Linked DNA regions of Macaca fascicularis. The protein of the gene in region 1 interacts with the protein of each later gene in a biochemical or structural test. Links are inferred from orthologs where the notes say so. Each region holds a gene or a part of one and is shown on either strand. Other genes may lie near its edges.

Region 1 (5,482 bases):
CCATTTTAGTTATACCATGGGGACTTCAGGTGGGCTGCAGGAGTACATCCACATTTCCATCAGTCCTTGCTAGGGCCAGTGTTACACTACATTGATAATTCCCCACTCCGGGTGCACAGTCCCCTCTCCTCAACTGAGCTAAGATGTAGGCTACTGATGATTTCATGCCCAGCCCAACTATGAATCAGCTGCTTCCAGTTAATCATTCCTCCTCGTACCCACCAGGAGAAACAGTAACAACTGAGGCAAGAATGCAAAGCCACAACCTAAAAGAAAAGAGACACATTGTTCCATCTGATCTACTGACAGCTAAGACAGTCACTCCATGGAGTACACAGGAGATTCCCAGGCTGCTGCCAGGGCTCATTTTGTTCTTGTCTTCCCTATGACTTTGCTCAGGATTCCGCTATCAGCAACTTCATCCTCCAGCTCTCTCCATCCTCCTATCAAAGCCTCAGGGACATAGAAAGAAGCTTACCTTCGTAAAATGTGCCAGGACCTCTGTCTTAGATAAAAGATGACTCTGAGAAAAGAAATTATTTCATTCCACTATGTTCCATTGGATTTCTGCTTTGCTTAAAAGCAGAAACAACCATGGCTTGAGATGCTTCTAGTGTTTCATGGAGAATTGGGACTATTTCCCCGACATGCCCTGCTCTTCATTCCTCTTTGCTTCTTCCCTTTTTGCCTCCTTGGACTCGAGAGGCGACCATAAGTGGTGAAATTTCTCACCAGATAGAACGCCAGGCAGGTGCAGCTCTTGAAGCACCAAGACTGGCTCAAGAGATTGTAAATGGATCTGTCAAGTGCATGCGCCACTGATGTTCAGTCAGGAGAGCTTCCATTTGTTAAAAATATAAAGGACATTCCTATCATCAAGCATCACAATTACGCAAACTCAAAGAAAACAATGTTAGCTCTACTTGGCCTATGTTATACGCTCTAAGAAAGTATTTTAGAAAAATTTTTTTTTCTTTTAACAAAAATTTATTGAAGGATCAAACGTGTTCTCTTTCTTGATGTCTTTAGCTCGTAAAGTCGTTTTGGGAACTTCGTGCATCTGGCAAATAAAATAAAACACCAATGAAATGCTGAGAAATGATTATTTCCCTTAAGTATTTTAGCGGCCTCCAGGCAGACCTGATAAATATTCAGCGAGTGATTAGCTGGTGCATCCCCACCTGCGTCCTTTGCATAGCCATGTCCGCTACTCTTTCACAGGCAGTTTTACTTGGTAATTTACAAATGTACCGGCTGCACTCTGCACCTGACAGTATTGCAGTAATTAGCTTGGGATGCAAAATGATTTCTAAATTAAGGTCCTAGACTTGCAAAATCAAGAAAGCCTGATAATCAACATCGTCCCTCTGATGGCCAGTGAATAACGGGATAAATACCTAAGACAAGTCCTTTAACCATCCCACGTGGTGTTAAATGCCCGACGTACAAATTAAAAGCCTCTACGACACGCAGGTGAAATACGGTATAGGTCAAGAAGAGAAGGTAGGGGAAAGGGTCAATGCTTAATTAGTTAAAAATCGCTGTCTTCCTCCTGTAGGAAGGTCTAGAGCCTGTGTCCTTTAGGGCACACGTGATGAAAGCGACATTTTGGCCAGGTGAAACCTCAAGCTGGTACAGGCTGCTAACACACGGGCGTCGTGCCCCGGAGACATCGGGGGTCCTGAAGATGGGGAAGGGACTCCCTGTTGCGTGTGCTCAGGGGTTAGCGGGTGAGCACCGGGCGGGAGGCTCCGGGGCAGGGGCTGCGCGTGGAGCCCACTCCGGAACGCGGGCTCCTCTCGGCCCGGCACGGACGGCGCAGGACTCCGAGCCCGTCGATAAGACAGAGAGAGAGCGGGAGTGGGAGGAGGAAGACGGGGAGAGGAGGAGGCCGGACGGCAGGAGCGGAAGAAGAGGAGGAGAACTGAGGCGGAGGAGGGCGAGAGGGAGGAGAGCCGGGAGCAGGAAGGGAGGAAAGAAAAAGGCGGCGGAGGAGCGCGCACCCGCCACTCCCGCCCTCCTCCTCCTCCGCATCCCCACTCGGGCTGGCCCTCCCCGGGCCGCCCGCCGCCGCCGCTCCCTGTTCAGTCTTCCCAGCACCGCCAGGCGCCCTCTGCCTCCTCCGCACTCGGCGCGGCCCGCTCGGCGCCGCCGCCGCCCCCCCCGCGCGCTCCCGGCCCGCGCGCCCCCGCCGTTCTCGTCCGCGCGGCCTCGCGCTCGGGGCATGCGCGGTGGGCGGCGCCGCTCCGGGCCGCCTCTGCCGCCGCGAGTAGGAAGCGCGAGCGCCGGGCGCCGGGCTGTCAGTGAGCCTGGGGCCAGCGGGCGAGCCAGCGGCTCAGGCTCCGGCTCCGGCTCCCGCTCTGCGCCGCACCGGCCTGACTCTCCCCGGTCCCCGCCGCGCCCCCTCGCCGCGACCTCGGCCACCGGCCCGCGCCCCCCGCCCGGGGTCGCCCCGAGCCCGCACCTCTCCGCCGCCGCCCCCGCCCACCCGGCCCTCCGCGGCCGCCGCTCCCCGGCGGAGGCAAGAGGTGGTTGGGGGGGACCATGGCTGACGTTTTCCCGGCCAACGACTCCACGGCGTCTCAGGACGTGGCCAACCGCTTCGCCCGCAAAGGGGCGCTGAGGCAGAAGAACGTGCACGAGGTGAAGGACCACAAATTCATCGCGCGCTTCTTCAAGCAGCCCACCTTCTGCAGCCACTGCACCGACTTCATCTGGTAGGTGCCGGGCCGGGCACCCCTGCCCCGCTCCTCCCCGCCCCTGGGTCCCGGTCCCCGGCGCGCCGGCAAGTCCGCCCCGGGGCTGGCTCACTCCGAGAACTTGGAACCGGCGGGAGTCCTAACTCTCGCCCGGAGTGACACGCGCTCCCGGCCCTGACACCGGCGGGCAGGACTCCCGGGACGTCGCCGCCCCGCCACACACACCCCCTGGCGCCGGAGGGAGGCTGGCCCCGTGCGGTGGCGGCGGGGATCTTTCCCCGGGCCGGGCCCCTCACCTCCCCGGGGGCGCCCACCCGCACGCACCCAGCGGAGCGGCCGCTTGCCGGGGTGGGAGCCCAGTGGACAGGGGAGGAGGAGAGGCCCGAAGGAGCGAAGGTTCCCGGAGAAACGCGTCCCGGAGTAACGGGGGAGCGGCGGCGATTCCGCTGCGCGGTCCAAGTTGCTGGCGAGCCAGGCTGGGCGCGTTCGGGGGGGTGTGTTTGTGCTTCCCATCGGGCTGGACCGCGCTGGAATCTTGGGCCCCTGCCTACTGTAGGCTGCATCTACTGGGCACGGACAGACTTTGACTTTTCTGAGTGAGCAGAGAGAGAGAGAACAAACTGTTGAAAGCTTGCAGTGGGGGAGGGAGAGTTCGAGCAGGCAAATGGCACAAGGGCAGAGGGACTCATTTAAAATAGACCCTGTCGGCCAGGCGCGGTGGCTCACGCCTGTGATCCCAGCACTTTGGGAGGCCGAGGCAGGCGGATCACCTGAAGTCAGGTGTTCGAGACCAGCCTGGCCAACATGGTGAAATCCCGTACTACTAAAAGTACAAAATTTGCGGGCGTGGTGGCAGACGCCTGTAATTCCAGCTACTCGGGAGGCTGAGACAGGAGACTCGCTTGAACCCGGGAGGCGGAGGCTGCAGTGAGCCGAGATCGGGCCACTGCACTCCAGCCTGGTCGAGACAGAGCGAGACTCCGTCTCAAAAAAAATTAAAATAGACCCTGTCAACACGAGATTAGACCTGTAACCCTGTTGATGAGGACAGAGGCCTTATTTAAGAAAAATAACATAAGGGCCAGAGGTGTCAGAGTTCAGGTAATCGCCAATGAATTCAGGCATTCTTAACTCGGAGGATCCTTGGGGGCTTATGGAGAATCGATACATAGAAGGGCTTCAGGGGTCTCTGAACCCTGCAAAACTGGGTGAAATTGTGTTTGTGAATCTTTTTGCTGGTGAGAGAATTACAGCTTTCATCTGATTCTCAAAAGTGTGTGACCCTTCTTCCCAGCTCCCCGTCACCACACAGAAGTTTAGAAAGCTGGAACTAAAGGAGCTCTAGGTCCTCTAGTTAGAGCAGCAGTAGTTTGGTTTTTCTCTTAGATTGCCGGATGCCCTGACTCTTCTACCTCTTCTTTGTCGTGTAGCAATTTCCTGACAAGACAGAGCTATGGCTAGGGCTTCTTAGCTCCCTCCCCTTCTAGGCCAGGGGGAGCTACCCAGGGTGGCAGTCATGGAGTGAATCCTGCCACCAGCCAGCTGTGTGGCACAGGTATCTTGGGCCATTAGAGTGAACATAATATGGATGGATCTGTCTGAATCCATCACACCTGGGGAAAAACATCCCAAAGGTCAGGTCCCATGATCGTGGTGCTAATAAGGTGTTTAATTTTTCCTTTCCTTTTTAGACATCTGCTCCCAAGTACACTTTTACGAAAAGCACAGCCACCTCTATGAGTGATTTCCACTGTCTAGTCAGCATATGAAGCGATTGTGCTCAAAGGAGTAGGTAATCGTAGATAAGGCTATTTAAAATACAATTTCGGAGCATCAGGGCAAAGAGAATATTGCATTTGGTTAAGAGGAGGTGGTCAACTGTGAGAGTCCATTAAAAGGGAACAGACTGCTGGTGACTTTTGCAGGAAGTGGGAGAGTTAGAAAGGGACTTGCAGCCGACCGAGGCTAGCTAGTGTCTTTCCACTGTCAGTTGCCCTTGAAGGATCAGCCCTTGGTGAGCTGAAGAGGCGCTCAGGTCACTAGCAGTGTTGTGAAGTGGAAGATAAAGGCCCCCCTGAGTATCCCTGCAGCTCTCTGCATTTAATTGTAAACCAACCAATTGGAAGTCCCAGGAAACCATCTACAGGGATTGTCTTTTTCAGTTTGCTTTCATTATTGTTTCTACGGGGTCCTTGATTTGCAAGTTTATTTCAATATTAAATCACTGATATTTTTAAGTGAAATGTTTAGAGTTCATTATGGTTTTTGGTGAGGGGGGATGACTCTTAAGTTAATTTTAAAAGTATGTGAAATACTTTGTGCATTAAACATTCTATGTGAAGCAAGAGGTTATGACGCTCAGCCTTCTGAAGAAATGTTAATGCAGTTAATCCTAGTAGAACAATACCTGCAATTGAATGTCCATGTCAGGGTTCTCTGCTTACAGAGTAAATTCTCTAAAGTCATTTACAAGAACAAAATACCCTCCGTATGTGCTTTGACTGCTGTCGGTTCTCAGTAGAAATTAGATCATGGTAATCTCAAATGCAAACAATAGGAATGATATTTTCTAGCATCTGGTTCCTTAAGCCAAAATTAAATGTTAAAAGTGATGCCGTTTGGCAATTTCTAGACACATAATACTTTAAACAAATGCATAATAAGTAAGCCCACTTTGTTGCCTTTAGGGAGGAAAAAAAAAACAATTTTCATTTGGTCTTCGGGAACAAAATTAAGTAACTTCCTTTTAAAATTTTAACCATAAACTCTTTTGTTACTTGAAT
Region 2 (4,627 bases), on another chromosome or scaffold:
CCAGACCCTGTCTCAAGGAAAAAAAAAAAAAAAGTGGCCGGGCGCGGTGGCTCACGCCTGTAATCCCAGCACTTTGGGAGGCCAAGGCAGGCGGATCGCCTAAGATCAGGGGTTCGAGAGCAGCATGACCAATATGGTGAAACCCCGTCTCTACTAAAAATTACAAAAATTAGCCGGGCTGTGGTGGCTGGCGCTTGTAATCTCAGTTACTCAGGAGGCCGAGGCAGGAGAATCACTTGAACCCAGGAGCGGAAGTTGCAGTGAGCCGAGATGGCACCACTGCACTCCAGCCTGGGCGGCAGAGGGACACCATGTCTTTAAAAAAAAGAAGAAAAACCTGTGCGTTGTAACGTCCTATTCACGAATTCTTATGCAAATGAGGTGATTAATACATTAGTGTGTAGGACTGGTGGCGATTCTAGATGACGTCATATGCATTTTTGTCCAATCCAAAGAAACGTGTTTCATAACAGCGATTCCATTGGTTTAAATAAAACTGCAATTTGAGCCAATGGCACAGCTTTATTTTCGCGCCCAGTATTGACTATAAGTAGTGGAGTTCTGGCAAAGTTCTCTAATTTCTTCTCAGTTTGTCTACCGATCGTTTCTTCGTCATGTCTGGACGCGGCAAGCAGGGAGGAAAAGCTCGCGCCAAGGCGAAGACCCGCTCTTCTCGGGCTGGTCTCCAGTTTCCCGTGGGCAGAGTGCACCGGCTGCTCCGCAAGGGCAACTATGCTGAGCGTGTCGGGGCCGGCGCCCCGGTGTATCTTGCGGCGGTGCTGGAGTACCTGACCGCCGAGATCCTGGAGCTGGCGGGCAACGCCGCCCGCGACAACAAGAAGACCCGTATTATCCCGCGTCACCTGCAGCTGGCCATCCGTAACGACGAGGAGCTCAACAAGCTGCTGGGCAAAGTGACCATCGCTCAGGGTGGTGTCCTGCCCAACATTCAGGCCGTGCTACTGCCCAAGAAGACCGAGAGTCATCACAAGGCCAAGAGCAAATAATGTCTCCATAGCGTCACTTTACAATACAACGGCTCTTTTCAGAGCCACTTACTATTTCTGCGGGAGAGCTGGGCCACTGGTTAAACATTCGGAACGTTTATTGTGAAAAGAAAAGCATTTTTCATCTAAAGCTTAGTAATGACTTTAGGGAAAACCTTACAGGATTCAGGTGACTTGTTTAAGTCAGAATGTGAACAAGTCATTTAATACAGGGCTTACAAGAGTGTTCGCTGTGTTTATTCATCGCGTGTTATATGTACTAGAGCCAATAAGAAAAAAATCCAGGGCCAGGCGCAGTGGCTCACGCCTGTAATCCCAGCACTTTTGGAAGCTGAGGCGGGAAGATCGCTGAAGCTCATGAATTCGAGATCTGCCTAGGCATCATAGCCGATACAAAAATTAGCCGGGCGGCATGGTGCATACCTTTAGTCCTAGCACTTCAGAGGCTGAAGTGAGACAATCGTTTGAGTGGGGGAGGCTGAGGCTGCAGTGATCCGAGCCCGCGCCACTGCACGCCAGCCTGAGTGACAGAGCGAGACTCTGACTCGGGTAAAGAAAAAAAGGAATCCAGTACAGAATGATAGTCATATCAAATTGGCTATATCAATGCCGAACACAGTAACGCCGAAGTAGCTGGCGCCTAAGTGGCTTAAACGCGGAGAAACCACGTACTGATGATGGAACAAAACTGACCAATCAGATTATAGAGCGGGGCTTTTAAAATTTAAGAAGCTTCTTTGTAGCTAGGCGTCAGACAAAGTTTGACACCAACTTCGAAAACTGCCTGCCTGATCTAACACATTGTGCACAGCAATTTTTTAGAGATCTCTGGGTGGCTCTGAAAAGAGCCTTTGGGGCTTTGTTGCGGTTTTCACACGCCAGCTTCCTACTTCTTTTTGGCAGCCGCCTTCTTGGCCTTTGCAGCTTTAGGTTTTGCTGCTTTGGGCTTAGCGGCTTTGGGCTTTGCCGCTTTCGGCTTAACTGCCTTGGGCTTGGCAGGACTCTTGGTTGCCTTTTTCGGTTTGGCCGCGGCCTTGGCCTTCTTAGGGCTCTTCGCCACTTTTTTGACGCCAGCCGCCGCGGGTTTCTTCGCCTTCTTCGGAGTCTTCTTCACTGCCTTTTTCGCCCCTGCAGCCTTCTTGGGCTTCTTAGGCGTGGCCCCCGCGGGTTTCTTAGCTTTAGCGGCGCCTGCCTTCTTGGCTTTGGGCTTAGCTTCCCCGGAGGCCGCCTTTTTGTTGAGTTTAAAGGAGCCAGAAGCACCAGTGCCCTTGGTCTGCACCAGGGTGCCCTTGCTCACCAAGCTCTTGAGGCCCAGCTTGATGCGGCTGTTATTCTTCTCCACGTCGTAGCCACCGGCCGCTAAGGCCTTCTTAAGAGCTGCCAAAGAAAGGCCATTGCGCTCCTTAGAAGCTGCCACAGCCTTGGTGATCAGCTCTGAGACTGGGGGCCCAGTCGCTTTGCGCTTAGCCGCGCCAGCGCCGGCCGCCTTCTTAGTTGCCTTCTTCTTAGCGGGGGATTTCTCCACAGGCGCTGGGGTGGCTGTTTCGGCAGGAGCGGTTTCCGACATGGTGGCAAGAAACTGCTAGAAGAGAATAAGCTCAAAATCCAAAGAGCAAGTTTTGCATTGCTGCTATGCTCGGGCCCCGGGCTTATATAAGCCGGCGCTGCCCTGTGATTGGTGGAGCGTCCAATCCACCGCCCTCTGGCCGCCGCCGCTCGCTGTTGGACTCCCAAATTGTGTTTGTTAGTCCTCAAAATTTGATTAAATGCTTAAAACAACGGTACAGAATTTGGCACTTTGAAGCTCCAAAGGAGGAAAACAGCCTCCAGGTTCACATACTTGTTTGTGTTTTCACGAATCTCGTGCAATTGATGAAAGATATTTTTAAAAATCCCTTCTGCTTTTCACAAGAATCCAATGGGCTGAGGGCATCATGTTAGTTAGTAGCGTGTCGCGATAAATTTCTATTAAGTATCCGGTGAAAGTTATTTTTTAAAATTCGCCCATGAGTTCACGCTTTGATTTTTGCAAGAGAAAAGACACTGGGTTCCTTGGTTTGGGCATGAACTTTGTTTCTAACTGTAGCAAGTAACACAGGCACGGGACAGCTGGTTGCCTACAGCCCCAACTTAACCACACAGACTTGACTTTACAAACTGGTTCTGTGTCCTAGGAGTTTCCATGTGCTGATGTCTTTACAGAATGGGATTTTTCAGCTTGGAAAAGTTCCACGGTCAGAGTGACTTCTTCTGCATTGCAGCACCAGTAATTCAAGTCGCTTTGACTTAAGAATCCAACTACCCAGATTCAAATTCAAACTTAAATGTGTTATGTTTTCTAATTGAAGTGTTTTCCCTTTTTAGTTCCTGGGCAAATCCATTAAAAAGTGGAAGAAAAATAACAGATAATTCAGTTTAGAGAAAATTCAAACCTGCGGAAAATTATTCAAGAGCGCCCTGTCATCCTCAAATACACAAACTGTTTAGGGGACCCAGGATTCTGTTAGGTTTTCAAAATGTTCTCACTGCTCCCCCTGAGTCTCCACCCACATTTAACAAGCTGCACCATCAGGAGTACTCTCTTCTATAAGCAGCCAGGATACATCAATATGGGTATTTTTGTGTGTTTAAATGCTAGTATTTTAGAAGAATATCTGGCTATTGACTGAAAAGATTGGATGGGATATTGAGCGACTTCAGGTTATAGAAGTTCAGAGGAACTCAGGAAAACACAGGCAAATACATTGAGGTTGAAATAAATGGTGAAGTTTACGATTTATAGGATGTGGAGGGGATTGGACAGGATGCCTGGATGATAAAAATGATCAAATAATGATTTGGATTCCTAATGAAATCAACAGTCACTTATTTCTCACCCTTGAAATGCTGTGCAAGAAAATTTAAAGTAGCCAACACATTTCATCTTCTCTCTAAGAACTCCTGGAGAGGTTGGCAGACTATGGCCAAATCTGGACAATGGCTTGTTTCTGTATGGCCCTCAAGCTAAGAAGTGTCTTTACATTTTAACAGTATTGTTTAAAACAAAAACAAAAACAAAGGCTGGGCACGGTGGTTCATGTCTGTAATCTCAGCACTGGGGAAGACCGGGATAGGAGGGTTGCTTGATTTCAGGAGTTCAAGACCAGCCTGGGCAACGTAGTGAAACCTTATCTCTACTAAAAATACAAAAAATATTGCTGGGTGTGGTGGTGCATGCCTGTAGTCTCAGCTACTTGGGAGACTGAGGTGGGAGGATCACTTGAATTCAGGGTGTCAAGGCTGCAGTGAGCAGTGATAGCACCACTGCACTCCAGCCTGGGCAATGGAGCAAGATGCTGTCTCGAACAAGCAAACAAACTAAAAACTAAAAAGAATGTGTGACAGAGACTATATATGGCCTTTAAACTCCAAACTATTTATTATCTAGCCCTTTTGCTGTGTTATAAATTTATCCACAGAGACACAGATTTTGTACAGGCCTCTTACCAAACAATGCAAATTGAGAACTAAAGAAAAGGAGATCTTCACAAGAAAATGTTCTAACCAAGCACTTTCTGCTGTTCCAAACACAAAACTTAGAAGGTCCAGGAGAAAAAAACCCCAAAACTCCATGCGTAGTG
Region 3 (5,648 bases), on another chromosome or scaffold:
CTGCATGGGCAGCCCCCAGGGCGGCCTATTCAGTTATTTAGCTGGAGGAGCTTCGGGCGTGCAGGCTGCCGCCCACTGGCTTCGCTGCCGGGACCCAGCACCTTGGCAGGTCTCAGTGTTTGATCCCTTTACAGGTGAACCACACCAGCCAAAGCCACTCTAATACTTCAAAGATCAACAAAATCAAAAAAATGATTTCTTCCTTTTCGTAAATCACTTTAATAGCTCTATGAAGGAGGAACTCATTCATTACATTCCATACTATATTCATTAATTAGTTTTCCCCAAACCACGCAGCCCTCCTATATAAGCTGTACTGTCAATTTTTTTAAGTCAAAAAAAAAAAACAGACTATTTCCACCAACCAGCAGACATGCAGCAGTTAATGAAAAGCCACAGAACATACATCTTGCAACATTTGGTCCACAACACAAGGTCTCCAACTTCTACTTAGCTCTGCCCAAGACAGGCCTGCAGAGCTAACAGCATAGGTTCACAAACTCCTCATGCCAACCAACGGCCCTCCTGGACAGCTCAAACCTCCTCCCTCCCAGATAAACCCTTTCACTTCAAACCAAGAGTGGGGCGTAGGGCTGGCTTGTACATCATGAGTGTCTATATAAAGACCATACCACCCCACGGTCAGGTTATGGTTTATGTGTCTCTGACTTTAAATCCTTCAGGTCTGGTTTAAATAATATCCTGCAGGGCCAGACACGGTGGCTCATGCCTGTAATCCCAGCACTTTGGGAGGTCTAGGAGGGAAGATCACTTGAGTCCAGGAGTTCGAGACCACCCTAGGCAATATAGGGAGACCCTGCCTTTAAAAAAAAATATTAGCCAGGCATGGTGGCACACACCTGTAGTCCCCGCTACTCAGGAGGTCAAAGCAGGAGGTTCACTTGAGCCCAGGAGTTTGAGGCTGCAGTGAGCTATGCACTCCAGCCTGGGCGACAGAGCAAGCCCTTGTCTCTAAAAGTAATAAAATAATATTCTGTGGTAAGACCCGAGCCCAGAAAGTAGCTGGATCAAAAGCTACCTGTCCCAGGAAACAGAGAGTCAGGAAGGACTGTAGCAGCAGCCCAAGAGCCAAATGAGTACAGGGCCCTTCAGGGTCTGGGAGGTTCAATGTGTCCCCTGGAGGAACTAGAGTCCCAAAGGGAAGTCAAAAACCTCACGGCAAGTGGATCTGAACAAGGAACTTTATGCTGGGGAAGGGGGTCAGAATGAAGCGCAAAAACAAAGAATAATGCTAAAGGAAAAGATAATGCAGAAAATTCAGTTTTGCCTTCATTTTCTTTCTATCAAAAAGAATATACTATAAATTGAAAAGGGTATTAACACCAAAAAAAAAAAAAAAAACCAACCGGAAGGTTTGAGTCACTGGCTCCTAAACGTATGTCCTCTGCAAAACAGGACAATTTAGTAAGTTTATTTTATTATAAAATACCAGAAGAGTCAGGGCTTTGGTGTCCTAAGAAAGGGTAGGAAGAAGACTGGAGAGGAACAAACTCTAAGGGGGCAATGGGGAAGGCAAGTTCTTTTTCAGGCCTTCCTGCCCCCTTCTTCCCTGCAAAAGAAGAGAGGAGGCCCTGATTGAGACACCTGGGAAGGAAACCCAAACAATGAAAGGTAAGCCCCAGGTGTTATCAACGTAAGACCTCAACAAGTTTCAAGAATCTGAGCAGCTGAACAAAGTGCTACCCAATGTTACCTAGGGCTCTATTTCTTTCAACCTTACTAACAGCAAAGCCTTTTTAAAGTAGTGCCTAATACTATTAGTTAAATCGTTATTGTGATACAGATTTTTTTTTCCTTTGGGACAGAGTTTCACTCTCGTTGCCCAGGCTGGAGTGCAATGGCGCAATCTCAGCTCACTGCAACCTCCACCTCCCAGGTTCAAGAAATTCTCCTGCCTCAGCCTCCCAAGTAGCTGGGATTACAGGCACGCACCACCACACCTGGATAATTTTTGTATTTTTAGTAGAAACGGGGTTTCACCATGTTGGTCAGGCTGGTCTCCAACTTCCGACCTCGGGTGATCCACCCACCACAGCCTCCCAAAGTGCTGGGATTACAGGCGTGAGCCACCGTGCCTGGCCCAGATATTTTTTATTATTATTAAAATATATACATTGAAAAGTACCTGAGTATAGCTCTGTACTGGAGGCCTACTTCATCCAGGCCCCTGACTGTGGCAGATACCACCCCACTATTCAAATTCTAACAGGAGAGGGAGGGCCCAGGAAGACAGATACGACAGGCGGCAGAGTAAGGCCAGCTCTCCTCTGCTACTTGCAGGCACACTCTGGGTACCAGCAAGTATCCTGGCCCTCTGAGTTAATGTGTTGTTAACAATCAGCCAGGCTCTTGACGCGGTTTCCTTCAAAGTTTTCACAGCCCCACCCACCAAGTGTGCTAAGCTTTCGTTTTTTTAAAATCTGTTCATCTCTCAGAGTGTTTTAGCCACTGAGTGGGCCCTGAAAATAACAAAACCATCTCCTAGTCACCTGCCCAGGGATGGGGCAGATGACGGGAGAGTCTGCCTTCACAGATACTCTATAGGTTTATATTTGGATGTCTATGTAAATAACCAGTCTAATTCTCAGCTCTCTGTGCTTAACTCTCTCTGCTTAATATTCTACTGAGAACAGCTGTGGTGACCCCTCTCCGGACCAAGCCGCTTCCCTCAGTCTGATGATGGTCCCAGCAGGCAAAGGTTGCACACACATGTACAAAGTCTGCTTTCCAGGACAGAAAGCCAGCTACCCAGCTGAGGCAACTGAGAGCAAACACCACCCTGAGATTTCAGGAGATGATGAACCCAGGAGTGCGAAATACATAGTTCAGAACTCCTCTGCGGTGTTGTCACCAATGTGGGAATTACGGCGCCCAGTGTGTGTGGCTCTCCAGCGAGCCTTGCTTACTCCCAGGTATTGATGAATACAATTAGGGTGTGAGGTACACAAACACCAGCCATGGTTAGGAGGAGGCCCCTAGAACTTGGCCTCCAGCAGGAAGGAAATATGGGACTCTGCCCAAGTATGCTAAAGGCTTGCTGCAAGCCAAGGCCCGCGCAGGGGCTTCTGGAAGCTTCCCGGAGCAGCTGGCGGAGGGAAAGCTGGCAGCATGGAGGGGCAGGAAGAACCCGGGGCCCGGGCCTGGAGCCGGCACCCGGAGGTAAGGCAGGGGCTGCCACGAACCCCGCCACACGCCAGGCCACAGTCACTGCAGCGCAGCTTGGTCCAGAAACCCTAGGCCCGGGGGAAGGCTGGGCAACACTTTGGAGGCACTTGGGGCGCACCTGGAGTTCGCCCGGGGTAGGTGGCTGTCAGGGCGGCCCCAGACCCGAGTGAGGGCGCCTGCAGGACCACTCGAGACTGCCGCCGTCCCGAGGCAGAGCCCCGCAACTCTGCCGGGAGCGAGGCGACCCAGACACTCACCAAGTCGCAAACGGTGCGGACCGCGAGGACCTGCGGGCGCCGGCACGCAAAGCGTTCTAGTGGCGCGGGCCGTCCCAGCATATCCGGGGCGCGGGGGCGGGGCCGAGGGGGCGCGGGGCTGGCGGCATGGGGCGGGATCTAGAGCGGGGCGGAGCCGAGGACCTGAGAAAAGCAAGAGAGCGCGCGGGGGCGGGGCCGGGGCGCGCGGGGGCGGGGGCCGGGGCGGGGCGGGGTGTTCCCGCCCGACCGGGTCGGCGCATGCCCAGTGCGGCGGCGCCGGACCTGAGCCACTCTGCGCAGCCTCGCTGGATGCCGACGCGCGGGCCCGGGTCCTGCAGCAGCGCTAGCTACTCTGTGCGCCTGACACCCCGGCCCTTTGGCCGGTACAAACCAGGCAGCGCCTTCCCAGCTTCCGCCTCAGGTTCTGTGCCTTAGTTTGCCAAATAGCCCATACCTTTTCCTGTCACAGGGATAGTCCGCGGGCGTGCAAGCGACCTGCCACGTGCCCGAGTGGTCCTGAAGGCGCGCGGGGGTCGTAGGACGGCGCCCGCTTAGTGAGAATCCCAGTCCTGCTCGGGGCGGCTACACTGAGCCCGGAGCGCGAGTCTCTCCCCTCCTGAGGCCGCTTCCCGGGTCAGGGACCCTCAGACCAGCAGAGACCCTGTCAGGGGGCCGTGGGGCAGCCTCCAGGGCCTGTGGTGGGCGGTCCCGTCCAGGCGCTGCAGTCACCGATGGCCTAGACACGGCCAGGGCCTGACTCAGTCGCTCTGCAGAAAGCGCACAGGGTGCCAGGCCCTGCTTGGGGTTGTGTGGACATTATTAGGAGCTGAATTGTGTCCACCAGAAAAGCTATGTTGGAGTCCTAACTCCCAGTACCTCACAGTGTGACCATACTTGGATATGGGGACTTTACAGAGGTAACAAGTTAAAATGAAGCCATCAATTAGTGGGCCCCTCATCCAGTAGGACTCGTGTCCTTATAGGCAGAAGGCCGCGTGGGGAGGAGGAGTGGAGGGCTGCACCTGCAAGCCGCCAGAAGCCGAAGAGGATAGACTCTTCCCTGGAGCCTTCGGAGGGAGCAGGGTCCTAACACACCTTGGTTTCAAACTTCTGGCCCCCGGAAGTGTGAGACAATAGGTTTCTGTTGTTTAAAGCCACTCAGTGTGTGGCACTTTATTATGGCAGCCCCAGGCAATGGGTACGGAAACCATTGTCTCTAACATGGTTGGCATAACCACCCCAGGGAGTAGTATCATCCCTGGAGGCTTCGGAGAGGTCACACACCCCTTGGCAGTTTCAAGGATCCCATCCGATGCCCACATGCTCTAAGGCACCATGCTATGGGCCTTCTAGGTTCTGTTATCTTAATGGAAAGGGGTCTTCGCCTTCCCAGTGTAGCTTCCCAGCTGGGATTTGGCCAATGCTCATACCTTCGTATTTGTGACTTGCAGGATCCAACATGTTAGCATGAGTGATAAGGGTTGTTCAGAGGAGAACTTCAGCAGGATTTGCTTTGGGATGAGCCCCGGTGACAATACAGGCTGCATCATTGATCCTCTGAGGTTCCTCACCCTGGACCGTGCCTTGGATGAGACATGTTTTAAATGGCTGGTTGTGGAAAATAAACTAGGCCCTGAGTACACAGTATAATGGTCAAATCAGGGCACTTTTTCCCCACTGAGCCTGGACACAGCCTCGGAATCCTTCTTAATACTGTGTTCCAAGCAGCTATTCACATTTCAACTAATGTGGAAGGAGAGATGAAACATGTTTGGCCTTGGCTCTGGTTTTTTCTATCAGCCTTCTGTAAGACTTTGGGAAACTCATCTGACTTCTCTAATCCTCAGTTTCATACTCTGTAAAGGAGTCTTATGATCATGTACTGTGCATGTATACAAACTATCCTTCCATATTAGGCCATGTGTGCATAGGGAAAATAAACCACCAGCACCACACCATACTACTGAGAAATGATGCTATACACCCGGCCGCTTACAGCCTGTTACTACCAGGACCCAGTTAGAACCAGGATCCCAATAGAACCAAAGGAAAAACAATGCCGAAATGGAATCAGAGTGCCGACCAGTATTCTAACAAGTGTGCTGTTAAGTAGTTTTGCAGTTAACACAGGACTCATACGTTTATCTGAATAATATTTTCAGACGAATCCCTAAACTCTTAAGAAAAAGAGACTGGCCCGTCTTA

The links. The genes of interacting proteins can lie anywhere in the genome.
Region 2: of the proteins of PRKCA (region 1) and H1-5, one has a biochemical effect on the other in vitro, tested with the Homo sapiens proteins (2 studies listed by BioGRID). The link is inferred for Macaca fascicularis from reciprocal best matches to the Homo sapiens genes PRKCA and H1-5.
Region 3: of the proteins of PRKCA (region 1) and MGMT, one has a biochemical effect on the other in vitro, tested with the Homo sapiens proteins (2 studies listed by BioGRID). The link is inferred for Macaca fascicularis from reciprocal best matches to the Homo sapiens genes PRKCA and MGMT.

What each region holds. Positions count from the first base shown.
Region 1 is NC_088390.1:72,726,573-72,732,054, forward strand, and holds the start of PRKCA (protein kinase C alpha type), read left to right. Parts: upstream 1-2,302; 5' UTR 2,303-2,544; coding exon 2,545-2,717; intron 2,718-4,389; exon of another isoform or gene 4,390-4,464; coding exon of another isoform or gene 4,465-4,487; intron 4,488-5,482. UniProt on the Homo sapiens protein: Calcium-activated, phospholipid- and diacylglycerol (DAG)-dependent serine/threonine-protein kinase that is involved in positive and negative regulation of cell proliferation, apoptosis, differentiation, migration and adhesion, tumorigenesis, cardiac hypertrophy, angiogenesis, platelet function and inflammation, by directly phosphorylating targets such as RAF1, BCL2, CSPG4, TNNT2/CTNT, or activating signaling cascade involving MAPK1/3 (ERK1/2) and RAP1GAP.
Region 2 is NC_088378.1:145,270,214-145,274,840, reverse strand, and holds H1-5 (histone H1.5), read right to left. Parts: upstream 2,634-4,627; 5' UTR 2,575-2,633; coding exon 1,894-2,574; 3' UTR 1,229-1,893; downstream 1-1,228. Other genes in the region: histone H2A type 1-H-like, read left to right, coding at 615-1,007. UniProt on the Homo sapiens protein: Histone H1 protein binds to linker DNA between nucleosomes forming the macromolecular structure known as the chromatin fiber. Histones H1 are necessary for the condensation of nucleosome chains into higher-order structured fibers.
Region 3 is NC_088383.1:138,442,464-138,448,111, reverse strand, and holds the start of MGMT (methylated-DNA--protein-cysteine methyltransferase), read right to left. Parts: upstream 3,529-5,648; 5' UTR 3,525-3,528; coding exon of another isoform or gene 3,444-3,524; exon of another isoform or gene 3,305-3,443; intron 1-3,304. UniProt on the Homo sapiens protein: Involved in the cellular defense against the biological effects of O6-methylguanine (O6-MeG) and O4-methylthymine (O4-MeT) in DNA. Repairs the methylated nucleobase in DNA by stoichiometrically transferring the methyl group to a cysteine residue in the enzyme.